2 linked regions of the Ovis aries genome follow. The protein of the gene in region 2 interacts with the protein of the main gene of each other region in a biochemical or structural test. Links are inferred from orthologs where the notes say so. Each region holds a gene or a part of one and is shown on either strand. Other genes may lie near its edges.

What was found.
Region 1: the proteins of FLNC (region 2) and XIRP1 form a complex in vitro, tested with the Homo sapiens proteins (2 studies listed by BioGRID and IntAct, with this or other methods). The link is inferred for Ovis aries from reciprocal best matches to the Homo sapiens genes FLNC and XIRP1.

Annotation. Positions count from the first base shown.
Region 1 is NC_056072.1:12,510,069-12,517,434, forward strand, and holds the start of XIRP1 (xin actin-binding repeat-containing protein 1), read right to left. Parts: upstream 3,979-7,366; 5' UTR 3,839-3,978; intron 918-3,838; 5' UTR 914-917; coding exon 1-913. UniProt on the Homo sapiens protein: Protects actin filaments from depolymerization. Required for correct cardiac intercalated disk ultrastructure via maintenance of cell-cell adhesion stability, and as a result maintains cardiac organ morphology, conductance and heart beat rhythm.
Region 2 is NC_056057.1:94,517,491-94,523,276, reverse strand, and holds part of FLNC (filamin-C), read right to left. Parts: intron 5,476-5,786; coding exon 5,314-5,475; intron 5,207-5,313; coding exon 5,003-5,206; intron 4,560-5,002; coding exon 4,407-4,559; intron 4,319-4,406; coding exon 4,196-4,318; intron 4,071-4,195; coding exon 3,828-4,070; intron 3,653-3,827; coding exon 3,383-3,652; intron 3,286-3,382; coding exon 3,148-3,285; intron 2,885-3,147; coding exon 2,769-2,884; intron 2,050-2,768; coding exon 1,917-2,049; intron 1,829-1,916; coding exon 1,652-1,828; intron 1,507-1,651; coding exon 1,288-1,506; intron 643-1,287; coding exon 433-642; intron 319-432; coding exon 131-318; 3' UTR 1-130.

The sequences.
Region 1 (7,366 bases), on a different chromosome or scaffold from region 2:
TGACATCGGGCCGGGCCGCCTCCTCCAGGGAGATCCCGCGGATCACCCGCACCTGGCTGGGGTCCCGGTTGATGGCATCCAGAGGCTTGGTCTCGAAGAGCCAACGGCCAGACCTCACTGCATTGCTTTGGATCTCCTCCCGGTAGGCGGCCTTGACCTCGTGGATGGCGCCCTCTGAGTCCTGGATGGCACACAGCGGCTCTGTTTGGAACAGCTTCACCGTCTTCTTCACATCGCCTTTCAGCTCCTGGATCTCTGAGCGCAGCTCCAAGGGGCTCTGCTCCTGGGTGGAGGGGCGGGAGCCAAGGCGGTCCAGTGGCCGTGTCTCAAATAGCATCCTGGTACCCTGGACGTCTCCGCTGGCTGCAGGCTCCCTCACTGTAGCCTCTGGTGCTTCAGCACGAACCGTCAGCGCATCCAGCGGCTTCGTCTCAAACAGCTGGCGGGCTGCACGCACGTCCCCTCCGGATGGCCGAGGTCCGGCCGGCTCCTGGTTTACGCTGTTAGTAAAGGAGCCTTCCTCAAACTTGCGGGAGGTGGCCTGGACGTTGCCACCGGGCACGGACTCCTTGGCAGGTGGCTTCTCATGGTCCCCAATGGCATCCAGCCGCCAGTTCTCAAAGATCCAGCGCATGCACTGGACATCGCCCTCGGTGGGCTCCTCGGAACCCAGGACCTCAGCCAAGTCTTCGGCCACGGCCTCAGCCAGATTCTTGCGGAGCTCGGGGTGGATGTGCTTGTAGAGGCGGCGGAGCTCGCTGGCTTGCCGCTGCTGGTGGAACTTGGAGAAGGACTCCTTGGGTGGCGGCGGCGGTAGGTCCTCCAGGGCAGGTGGTGGAGGGGGGGGCAGGTCCTCTGTAGCTGCCATCGGGATGGTTGGGGTGGGGGCCACCTGCATCTGGGCACTGGCCATCCTTCTGAAGAGAGGGGGCAGAGATGAGGATGGGGTTGGGGGATTTCAGTGAGATGGGGGTTGGTTGCAGAGTAGCCCTAGGTGGCGTGTGCTTAGAGACCACCCCTCCCCCTTTCCAGACCTCCCCGGGGTCTCACCCTGCTACCTGAATGGTTGCTGTGTGACTAGTCTTGAACTTAAGGCATATAGAGCCATCCATCAGGTGGGTCCCTGCTCCCCCAGAATCACCTGGGTTGTCACGGCGCCAGCAGGGCACTACAGGCTTTGAAACTCTGTCTTCCAGTTAACGGGTGCCCAACCCCACAGTGGGAAAACTGTTCCTGTCCTGTCCCATCCTTGCTTGCTTTTGCCAAAATCAGTTTTTCCCTGGTAGACTCCCAGGTGAGTGGCCTGGGGGAATTCTGATTTTTAAGGGATCCCAGCCAGGGAGAAGCAGGTCCCTACACTGGTGACTGGGCTTCCCTGGTGGCTCAGACGGTAAAGAATCTACTTGCAATGAGGGAGGTCTAGGTTTGATCCCTGGGGTGGGAAGATCCCCTGGAGGAGGGCTTGGTCTCCAGTATTCTTGCCTGGAGAATCCCATGGACAGCGGAGCCTGGCGGGCTGCAGTCCATGGAGTCACAAAGGTTTGGACAGGGACATGACTAAGTGAGCACACAAACTGGTGACTCTCATGGAGAGAACTAGTTATCAGTCACGTTTCCTTTCTCACCACCAGAGGGCGCACTTGTCCCTTTCACTGGGGGGCTGTCCCGCCTTTAGCTCTTGGCTCTCCTTTCTCAGGCCAGGGAGGCCAAGCAGGGGCCGGCAGCTCTTGCTGCAGCAGAAGCAGTAAGGCTGAGTGAGTGTCCACCAGTTGTCTCGCAGTTAGGCAGAACCCAATTCTGAATCCTAGCTAGGGGTTTTCTGAGCTAGGGGGACCTCTAGAAGCTTCTGGCCCAACCACTCTTGATTAAAGATGAGGAAACCAGGGTCCAGAGTCAGATCTTGGTGAATGAGGCGCAAGCAGTGCTGGATCGGGGTTTCGAAACACTTTAGGTAGGAAGTGTGACGCTTTCTCAGTGGCTGTGGTGGCCCTCTGTTCCCAGCAGACACCCCAGGAGGGGAGGCAGTGAGACTTGAGGGCCTTCCTGCAGCGATAGCCTCACCCCTTGCTCACGGACCCCCGTCCCCAACTGTGTGCAGCACGAGTCTCCTGTGCACGCCTTCTTTCTCCCTCTTCGTGCCCATCAGCTTCCGCCAAGGCACTGCCCCCACGCCCCTGGCCCACCTTCTCTGGCCTCTGTCCTCGCTGTCTTATCTGTCTTGTGACAGGTGTGCTAACAGTCCCCAGAGGCCAGTAGGGAAAGAATGAGAAGCACGTCCCCCCCTCACTGCCCCTGACCCACAGCTCTGCTCCACGCTCAGTGCTAAATATAGCCGAGGTGCTGGCCTCCACACAGCGGCCCTGGGCTGGGGAGAGGTCCGGCTCAGCCAGTGGGACCCTGGGAGCCTGACCCCCCTTGGTTCCTTCTCTGCCCTGGGCTCCCTGATCCTGCCTGCTGAGCTGGTGTTTGGCCTCTGGCTGCAGGATGACCAGTGCTTCTGGCCACAGGAACCTGGGGGTGGGGGAGGGACTTCCTTCTCTCGACTACCTCAGCAGGGGGAGACTAAGCCCTGCTTGCTCCACCCACACCCCAGCCTGTCCTCTGAAGACATCCAAGGAGTATGACCTCTAAAGTCGACAGTCCAAGTCTCATCACGCACTCTAGGTGCTTCCTTTAGCCTGGGTTCTCATGAGGACCCCCCGACCAAAGGCAAACCTTGATGGTCCCCACGTCCTCCCTGCCGTCACCAGTGTGGCCTGAGCAGATGGCAGGTACGGGCCACCAGCTCCACCCTGCCTCCACCGCCTCCCCCAGGAATCTCCAGAATCCCTGCTGTGGTCACTTATGATCGAATCAGAGTCCAGAGAGGGCAGAGCTGAGGACCTGCCGAGGTCACTGGGCCCAATCCCCTCATTGTTTGGAAGGGGAAACCGGCCCCAAGAGGGGAAGGAGCTGACCCCGGCAGCTCCACCAGGCGGTAGCAAGGCCTCCCCACCTCGTTTCTCAAGGATGGGGACCAGGTGCGGTGAAGGCCGAATCCAGAACTGATACCAGGCTTTGGGTAAGGCCTGAACCCCAGGGGTGCCCCTGAGCTTGGCCTCCCAGGCCTGGGCCAGCCTCTCCGGGTGACCCCCGCTTTTGCCTCCAAGTCTGCTCTTTCCTGGCCCAGACCCCTTCACGCATCTCTATACTTGGGCAGTATACTCTAGCGCTCAGACCTGGCCACCCACCTTTACCCCCAGGTCTTCCTTAAGGCTGTCCTACTGGGCACGCTGATGGCCCACATCACACCCAGGCCCTAGGCCATGCGGGGTGCTGGGCTCAGGCCAGCCCTGGGGAGACATTCCCGAGCCAGCTATGTCAAGACTTCTACCCACAGCAGCTGGGCACAGGGCTTGTCCTGGCAGCACAGTCAGACCCCCGTGTCCTCCCCCGCCTCTTCTGTCCAGACACTGGGCCTAGCTGGGGCTCCTTGGAAAGAAAGCCTGAAGCCTGAGGAGCTCCGTACCTGATTTTAAAAATCACAACCCCAGACCACCTCCTCCAGCAAGCCTTTCTGGATTACGCCAGACTGGCTGGAACCTGCCCCTCTGTAGGCCTCAGGCCTGTGCCAGCCAGGCCGAACGCTACCATGGGGCTCACAATAATTGTCTGGCAACTTCCTTGTGGAATCTTCATATCAGACCCCTCCACTCACCTGCTCCAGACGTGTGGCCCCACCTTCCTCCCCTCACTCAGAACTTTCACTAATACGCACTGCCCTGAGAGGGGCCGGAGGGGGTCCCGGCCTGGAAAGCCAGCCCCGCTGGTGTGGCGAGGAAAGGAACGGCTCACTCACCTGCGGGCTCTGCCTGGCTGCTGGGGTTTGGGGTCTTCGGCAGGTGTGGCCCACGGCTCTGTCGTGCCTCTGGTTTGGGCTGCTCTCGCTCTGCTGGCCCCGTCGGACACCTTCTCGCTGCCCTGGCTCGGGGTCTGTGTCCCCTGCCAGGCTCAGCAGCTGCCTTTATCTGGCTGGTTAGGGGGTGGGCCGAGGTGGGGGGGTGGGGGGAGGCGAAGGTCAGAGTATGAAGTGGTTCAGTTATTTTTAGGGCTCTGGAAGTTATTCTCCATCTCGGGCATCAGTTACATGTCCTTTCTGCTAGGGAGGGGAAGAGGAGTGAGCGGGGGAGAGCTTCATTCATCCAAGTCTCCTCTGAGGATTGGGGTCAGTGACTCAGCTGTGGTGTGGGGTGCGGACATCCCAGACTATTCTGAGGGAATGAATAAGGAGGCGCATCTGACACCTGGTCAGCTTGGCCCCCCACCTTGTGATCCCCCACGTCCCTACCCCAGCCTCTGACTATGTCTGACGTGTGGCGTGACTATGTCCCACCCTGCCAGGAGACTGGAGGCCCCCTGAGGGCAGGCCTAGGCCCTTGCTCCTCAGTTCTCAGCCCGGATACCCCTGAGAGTAAGGCCCTTCTTCTCCCCACTCCTGCACTAGACCTTTCCGCTGTCTCTTCCATCCCTCCCTGCGTCCCACCGCACAGGTGTATACAGCCCTGAGTGCACACAGCTGAATTTGGGGGAAAGACCTCTGGCCCCAGTTCTCCACGGGGTCCAGGTCTGGCAGAGGGCTCCGCAGCATGGTCTGCGGTGTTCCCAGCAGATTATCTGGGTTGTTGTTTACTCTCAGGCTCTGGCCTCTGACTCAGGGCCCAGGCTTTCTGGGAACAGAGAGGAGGGGAGGGGCAGCACACGGGGAGCTGACTCTGGGGTTATTTCTGACCCGGAGTCATCAGCTTCCAGTCACAGAAGGAGTATGTGTGTGTGTTTGTGTGTGGGGGTCACGGCTGCCCCTCCTTGGCTACCCAGAGCCCGAGGGGCTTAGTAGCTCCAGAGATCCTGGCATTTAGGCCGGGAAGGGCAGTGTGGCGAGGGGCATCGGGAGACCATGCAGAGCACAAGCGACGGAGGCATTTTGCCTGGTTCCATGTCGAAGTTGTGTTCTGCTACCTGGCAGAACAAGGTCTTCTGACATCCTGGGGGCCCTCTGGTGCCAGGAAGTGATGCCAGGCACTGCTCACTCTTTCCGTTGAGTCAGTGTCAGGCAGGCAGCATTGGCCTGGGGTGAGAAGAGGGGCAACGGGGAGCCCTCCTCCCTGGCCTCCTCTGATTCCGGCCTTTTTGCCCTTTGCTGCCCTAGCACCTATTTCCCGGATCCTGTCTCTCCCTGGGAAGGGCAGGAAGATACCCATCCTCTCGGGCCAAGGGAAGAGGAGCCTTAGTGCCTGCCCTCTGGGGTGGTTTTGAGACTTGAATGAATTCACATATTAGAGGGTTTTGTGAGAGTGCTCAGCACATGGCCTGGGTTATCCAAGGGCCTGATGCACAGGTTATTACATACGTAAGAAAAGGAACGTACCTGGTTGGAATCCTCTTTTGTACTCACTGCAAATATGATAAACTCATGGTAGAAATTTCCCATGCCTGGTTTGTTTTTATCTAATACAATTGTACTGTCCAAGACAACTTCCACTAACCCCATGAGACTATTTAAACAGGTTAAAATGAAACAAAATGAAAAATTGTGTTCCTGCATCCCTTTAGCCACATTTTAAGTGCTCCATGGAGCAGAGTACAAAATGTTTCCATCACTGTGGAAGTGTGATAGCACTATCACAGACACTGAAACTCTCATTGAGGGTGGTGTTTCCTTCTTTGCCTTGGCTCCAAGGACACTCTGAGCTAAATGTTTAGACTTTCAGCAGGTAGACGCTGTGGGTTGTATCCTGTGTCATGGGGGTAAACAACTGGCCCTGTTGCCTGTCTCTGAGGGGTTTCGCAGAACAAGGGACTTTCAATTTTAAAACTGGGAAAGTTCAAAGAAAAACAGGCTGAGCTGGTCACCCTATGTGTAATGATCTAACAAAATCACATCATCAAGGTGTCAGTGATATGGCCATTAAGGCAGTGGTCAGGCATTATTCATCAGAGTATCTTTGGTGGTGGGGATGCTGGGCAGTTATCTTTTTAAAAGCCACCTCAAATCATTTTGGGAAGGGGGCTGGGAGTAAATGGTTATCCTGAGGTCAAATGGCTGTGCTGGTTAATTGATCTCTCAGAAGGCAGAAGGGCAGGGAGGGAATGGAGAGGGAAGGCGGAGAGGGATTTTTCAGTGATTACAACCTGCCCCCCACCCCCACTGCTTCTGGAGCTTAGTGTTTCCTGGTCTTGAGGGCACATTCCTCTGTCAGTCCATCCCTCTTCAGTGGGGCTCTGCTGAAGTTGGGGATTAGTCAGAAGCCCCTGCCTGTCTCCCAGGAAAACAGGTACTCTGGCAGGGCTCAGTGAGCAGCTGGCAGTAGACTCACCTGATGTTTCAGGAGAGGCAGGAACCAGGGAAGGTTCAGAGCCAGGCTGCCTACCTGAGTTTGAATGAGGCAGGACGCAGGGAAGGTTCAGAGCCAGGCTGCCTACCTGAGTTTGAATCCTGTCTGTGACACTTACTAGCTGTGTGACGTTGGCAAGTTACTCACCCTGTCTGTTCGCCAGTTCCCTCACCTATAAAATGGGCATAATAACAGTGTATACCTCAAAAGGCTGCTGTGAGGAGCACACATCTGTTACACACACACACCACATCGGGTACAGTGCCCAGCATATGTAAACTCAACTGATGATTAAGCTCAATACATTCTCCCCTGGGTCCCCACCACCGGCAACTTTCCCTGGTCCCAGATCCCAGTGTATCCTCTGGGTCTGATGGCAAGTGTCCTTCAAAGCCCTGGCTGGTAGTCCTGGCCTCCCTCCAGCTGGGAAGCAGACACGGGTGTCTGCTCTGGGCTGGCCAGGGCGTGTCTGTTCCAGGGCTGTAGGACAGGTCAGCTCAGCCTCTTGACAAAATCCTCTGAACCTGCAGAAGGGACTTTCTGCGCTGCTCAGGGGGCAGCTCAAAGGTGGGCAGATTTGAGGGGAGAGTGTCCGCCTCCTGCCGTGGGAGTCTGGTGGCCGTGCCGTGAGGGTCGTGTGGGCCCTGGTGCCAGACCACTCTCACCAGCCTGTCTTCCTATTTCTATGACCTCTGAGAGTCTGCCTGCTTTCTATATTCTAGTGTGTTAGTTTGGGATCTTCCAAGAGCAGAGTCCAAGAAGAGCATTTGGGTGCAAGTGGTTTCACTGGGAGGGGAGGAAGGGGGTGAGGGGCTAAAAGTGAGGAGGAGAAGGAAAGCAGATTACTTCTGTGGACCGCTGGGGCTGGATCCCTCTGGAGACTTCGGGAGCTGGTGTGGAACACGCCTCACCCGGGGTCGGGGGGTGGTGGTAAGGGAGCTGGGGTATTCATCCACCCTCCTCATTCCCCTGGATGAGGATTGCTCCCAGAAGCA
Region 2 (5,786 bases):
GTCTGATTCTGCGAGCGTGCATCTGGGTGTGGCCCATTTGTGTGTGTGTCTGTGTGGGTGTGTGTCTGTGTGTCTGTGAGTGTGTTTGGCCAGAGGTGGGGGCCGAGGCTGGGGGAGGCACTTCTGGGATTCAGGGCACATTGACTTTGAAGGGGCTTCCGGGGACACTCTCGTCGCCCCACTTGACGATGAGGATGTAGTCCCCTTTCTCCTTGACGGTGTAGGTGACGTTGTACACCCGGTTCCCCATGTGCTTCACGTACACCTCCTCGCAGGGGGTCTTGGGCCCGTGCACGCCCACCATCATCATATTGGTGCCTGGAGAGAGAGGCGGCGAGGGACAGGCTCACCCCCAGCCCTTGGCCCCATGTTCGCGCACACTTGCCCACCCCGGGAGACCACCCCCTCTCTCCCGCTCCGCCCGCTGCCTGCCTGCTTTGCTGCAGTCCACGGTGAAGGAGTTCTTCTGGCCCACAAAGGCCTGGGACAGCCCGGGGCCCCGCGTCACCACCTTGCTGGCATCTGAGGAGAACTTGGGGATGGAGCTGTAGCTGGAACCCCGGCTTGAGGACGACTTGGTCACAGTCTCCACCAGAACCGTGGATGTTTCATGAAGGCTGTGGCCTCCAGAGAGCCGGGGACCTGAGGGGCAGGGTGGGGTGGCCACGAGCCGGGTCAGAGGCCTGCTCTCCCCGAGGCGGTAGGCCCCGGGTGGCGGTCCTGACAGCCCCGGCCCCCTTCCTCAGCTCCAGCATCCTGGGAGCAGCGGCCCATTTCACACAGAGCTCTTGGGCAGGCTCATCACCAGGTCTGGGGCCTCCATGGCTCTGTCCACCCACCTCCAACCCTCTGGCTTTGTCTGGGACCCCAAGTCACACAGTAAGTAGAGCCCTGCTTTAAAAAGGAACAAGTATCCAACCAATCCTTCACACAGCTTCCAGAAGGAAAATCAGGTAAATGTCTGCTGAGCTCTGTATTCCTGGAAGCCAGAAACGGGGATGCCAGGAGGGCAGAGTTCAGTGAAAACTTGGGGAGCCACCGCAGGGAAAAGATTAGTCAAGGGATGGACAGTAGAGAGGGATTTGATTTTTTTAAAATGATGTACACAAGTCCACACATAGAAGGTGGAGAATGGCACATTGTGTAAAGCCAGCCCCACTTTATTCCTGGTAACCTGAAACACTGATATTTGGGGCCAACTCTGCCCTGGATGTGAATAGCCACTGGAGCCAGCCCAGGATAGGCTTCCAGCCCAGGGTGAGACCTCACCCCACCCAGGACGCTCACCTGTGACTTTCGCCTTGAAGGGGCTGCCCACGATGTGCTGGGGGCCACCATACTTGATGGCAATGAGGTAGTTGCCAGGAGCCATGGGCGTGTAAGTGACCACGTGACCCTCAGGACACTCCCGACAGTCCAGCTGCACCTTGGATGGGCCGTCAATGGTGACAGACAAGGCCCCTGAGCCTGCATTCAGGGTGTTGACGATGAACTCTGACGACACACCTGGGGACCAGAGGTAGCAAGGATGTAGGCAAGAAGGGCTTGGGGCCCAAAGCTGGGATGGGCCCAGGCTCCCCGGAGCAGACCTCTGCCAGGACTTGGGGCTCATCAGCACTGTCCACCCCTCTCCCCAGCCCCAGGCACTCACCTGTAGTGCCTCCCTCGAGCCCAGGACCATAGGCCGACACCAAGCCTGGGTCCCCAGCCTGGCTCTGCTCCCCAACTCGGATCTTGAAGGGACTGCCAGGGATATGGGCACCATTGAACTTGACGTCGATGGAGTGGACGCCATTCTCATGGGGGATGAAACGGATGGTGTGCTTGTCTGTGGGGACAGAGGTTGGTCAGTGAGCCTTAGTCTTTTCCCTCCCCTTTCCAGAAGGTCCTAGCCTGGCAGGGACAGGCCAGCTCACCACTGTCCAGCTCGGAGACGTAGCACTCCTCCACTGCACCTGAGGGCGTGTGTACCCTAGCATCGATCACGCCCCGTGCGCCATTCAGCTGCACCGCAAAGGACGCCGGCTGGTTCACCTTGAGCCCGGTCTCCTGCAGACACCACAGAGGGTGCTCAGACTTCTGGGAGGGCCTGGAGGGCTCATGTCTGCAGCCTAGCACTGATATCCCTTCCTGCCCAGCCTGGAGGCTCCCTCCTCCCACCCCCAGCTGCCCCCTGCTGCCTGGCCCAGCTCAGGGAGGCTCTGAACAAGGCTGCGATGGGAGGCAGAGGCTGGGTCTTTGGCCTTGGCAACCACCTGCTATGGGGTGGGGCCACCTGGCTGTGCCCGGCATGGTTGGGGACCAGAGATGATGTGCCCTGTCCTGGCTGGGGAGGTAAGACCTGGATACTATAAAGCCGGCCTGATAGAGAACCCAGTGCTGGGACAGCATTGTGTGGACTGCGAGAACTCAGTAGCTGGGATGGGAAAGAGACATGTGGGCTGGACTGCCCTGGGGGCACTTGATGGAGAAGGTGGGGCTGATTGGGCGGCTTGAGGGCGGGTAGGTCGTGAAGATGAGGCCAGTTCTAGGATGGGGAAGGGGGAGGAGGGACACAGTGGCACCTGAGGCTTCCAAGACTACCCCAAGGGGCAGCTAGTATAGCTAGAGCCCCCTGTTGTCCAAACACTGGGAGAGAGGGGCCATCTGTCTGGACCTTCCAAGGTCACTGCTAAGTCCCTGGTCACATGGAGCTGCCATCCTCTACTCCTGCCCATCTCTCAGGGTGGCAGGAGGGCCTCATCCCCCCCTCCACCCCGGGCACACACCTGGAGGCTGGTGACAGTGAGACGGCGAGCATCATCTGAGAGGGAGGCCACGGGTACCACGAAAGGGCTGTCTGGGATGTGCTCGTCGTTGAACTTGATGGAGACCTCGTAGTCACCTGGGGAGAGAAGACCAGTCAGCGCAAGCTCCAGGACGGGGGGCAGCAGCAGGGGAAACGACCCCACCCTGATCTCAGGCCCGGACAAGCTCCTAGGTCGAGCTCAGCTCTGGAGACACGTGTTCCTGGGGGTGTAGGGTGGAGGGAAATGGGCAGAGAAACTGCAGTGGCCCAGGTGAGGGGTTGGTTTGGGAGCCCCATCTCCTGCCGGGCTGAGCAGAAGCCTGGTCTGGAAAGTCAGGCAGGCCCAGCAAGATGCCCACCTGGCTCCTGGACGACATAGGAGACCCCACATGAGCCATCCTTGCGATCCTCAAATGCAATTTCCGCCTTGCTGGGACCCTCCACAGCAATTGATAGGCCCCCGGCACCTGCTTCTCGGGTCCAGATGCTGAACTCAGCTGGAGACAGAAATGGGACGGGGCAACTCTTAGCACTGTCGCCCATCCTGCTGGCTGTCCTGCCCCCATCCCTCGTCCCGGGCACCCGCCCCCTTACCTGGCACGCCAGCCACCCCTCGCTCCAGCCCTGTGCCTCCAGCCCGCACCTTGTGGGCACCGCCTTCACCCAGCGGCCCCACGGTGAACTGAAAGGGGCTGCCTGGCACATGCTGGCCGCGGTACTTGACAGTGACTGTGTGGGGCCCCATCTCCTGGGGCACAAAGCGGACGCTGTACGCGCTGTCCTCCCCCTCCACGATCTCGGCGGCTTCTGTCTTGCCCGACGGGCTGGTCACCTGTGCAGTCATGTCCTGAGAGCTGGCCTCACCTGCAGGGGGTGGGGAGTGTCAGGGCGACACCGGGGCTGCCCCAGGCCCTCGCCCTTCCCTCCCTCCCTCCCTCAGTAAACACCCCCTCCTCTGCTCAGACCAGCAGCCTCCCCATGCTGTCCCAAGGGACAGAAGGCCCACCTCCCTGTGAAGAGCCCAGCTGGTGCTGCTCACCCTCCTGCTGCCGGGTGATGCTGCCAAAAGAGCCCAGGCGCTCCCGGCCCAGGAAGTCCCCGAAGACGGCGGGGAAGGGGTCTCCGCCAACCTGGGTGGACTCCTCCACCCGCACCTCGCGCTTGGTCTCCCCGCCCCGCGTCTTGCTGATCTCTGTGCGCTCTGTGCGGGTGTATGTGTGGCTGCTGCGGGTGAAGGTGCGTGTCAGGCGCTCCTGGGCGGACACCATCTGGAACCAGTTCCCTGTGGGACAGGTAGAGCCGGCGGAGGGGAGGGAGGTGAGAAGTTAGCCAGAAGGACAGAGGCCCCGGGGACAGGCTCTGGGCCCTCCCCACAGCCCCACCCCACCAGGCTCTTCCGGTGCCCACCTGGGATCTTGAGGTTGAGGTCACAGGTGCTGCCGATGGTGGCGATGGACGGCGCCTGCCTGCGCCGGGTGATGCTTTCCTTCATGCGGCCCTCACCAGTGACCTTCACTGTGAAGGGGCTTCCTGTAGGGACAAGAAAGAGCGGGTCAGCCACCTCAGGTCACTCATCTCCGGCCTCCTGGCCTGTCCCGGCCACAGCCCAGAGCCTTACCAGGCACGTGCTTGTCGGCGAACTTGATGTTGATGATATAGGTGCCAGGTTCGGTGGGGCAGTAGGTAACTTTGCACGTGCCATCCTCCATGTCCTCACAGTTGATGTCCACCTTGCTAGGGCCTTCAATACTCAGCCCCAGGCCCCCATAACCTAGTGGGAGGCAAGGGACACGTCTCCCTCAGTCCCCACTGCCATCTGCTCTCCCCTCCCCAAACCGCAGGCTCTGCCCAGAACAGACACCCAAGGGGCACCGTAACCACTAAGGAAAGATAGCTCAGTAGAAGAAGGAGGGGTGAGCCAGGCAGTGACCCAAAGGGTCAGGGATAGGTAGTCTGGAAATTTCTCTAAGGCAGGCCTCTTGGGTTTTGGTGAGCGAAGGAGAGACAAACTCAGGATGGCTGAGCTTTCTCTTAGACACAGAAGTGACAGGGGGACATTTATTCTTCCCAGGTGGGCCCCAGAATGGGAATCTCAGCAGAGACTGGGCCAGGAAGTTCCGGAGGGGAGGTTATGGTCCGGGGCGCTGGGAAGGAAAGGACTGGTCCCAACTTGAGGCACCAGCTGCAGTGAGGGGTCTCCGGGGCGAGAAGCACCTGCATTCCGAGTGTCCACGATGAACTCCGCCACCTGGAACGTGTGTCCTTCGGACAGGCCCTTGCCCCAGACCCGCACCTTGCTAGCATCCCCAATCTCAGACGGTCCCACCAGGATCTTGAAGGGGCTGTTGGTGACATGCTTGCCGCTCTTGCGCACGCTTACCACATGCTCCCCAACTTCTTTGGGGGTGAAGGAGATCCCTGTTGCGGGGGAGGTCAGGCATGAATGGAGCTCTGGGGCTGGCAGTAGTCCTTTCCCAGCTCCCCCACCTTTCTCCCCTGGGCCCCTCCCATGGCACCACGCTCACCGATGTGCCGGTTGGGCAGACGCTTCAGCAGACAGGGCTCCTCGTTGCCCGAGGGGGCACGGATGCTGGCGGTCAGCTGGCTCAGGTCACTCTCAGTGATCTTCAGGGACACATCCGTGGAGGTGCCCACGTTCAGCTGTGACGTCCTCATTGAGTCATCACCTAGGGGAGAGTTGGCATGTCAGGCAGGGTGACTCCAGGCAAGCCCTTCCCTTGGTATCAGGAGACCCCCTGGACTCAACAGAGCCTTTGCCTGCCCCCCTCAACCCCCAAAGCAGGCACAGAGAGACCGGGGAGAGCACAGTCTCCGTGCACATGTTAGGGGCCCAAGATTAGGGATGAGTCAGCACCCCAGTCCTGAATGGGTTAAACCCCTAATTTACATAAATTTAAATTCCGAGTCAGGTAACTTGGTAGAACCAAAAAAGAAAACTGAGACTAAACCACACACAGCCCAGATCCCTTACCTGCTG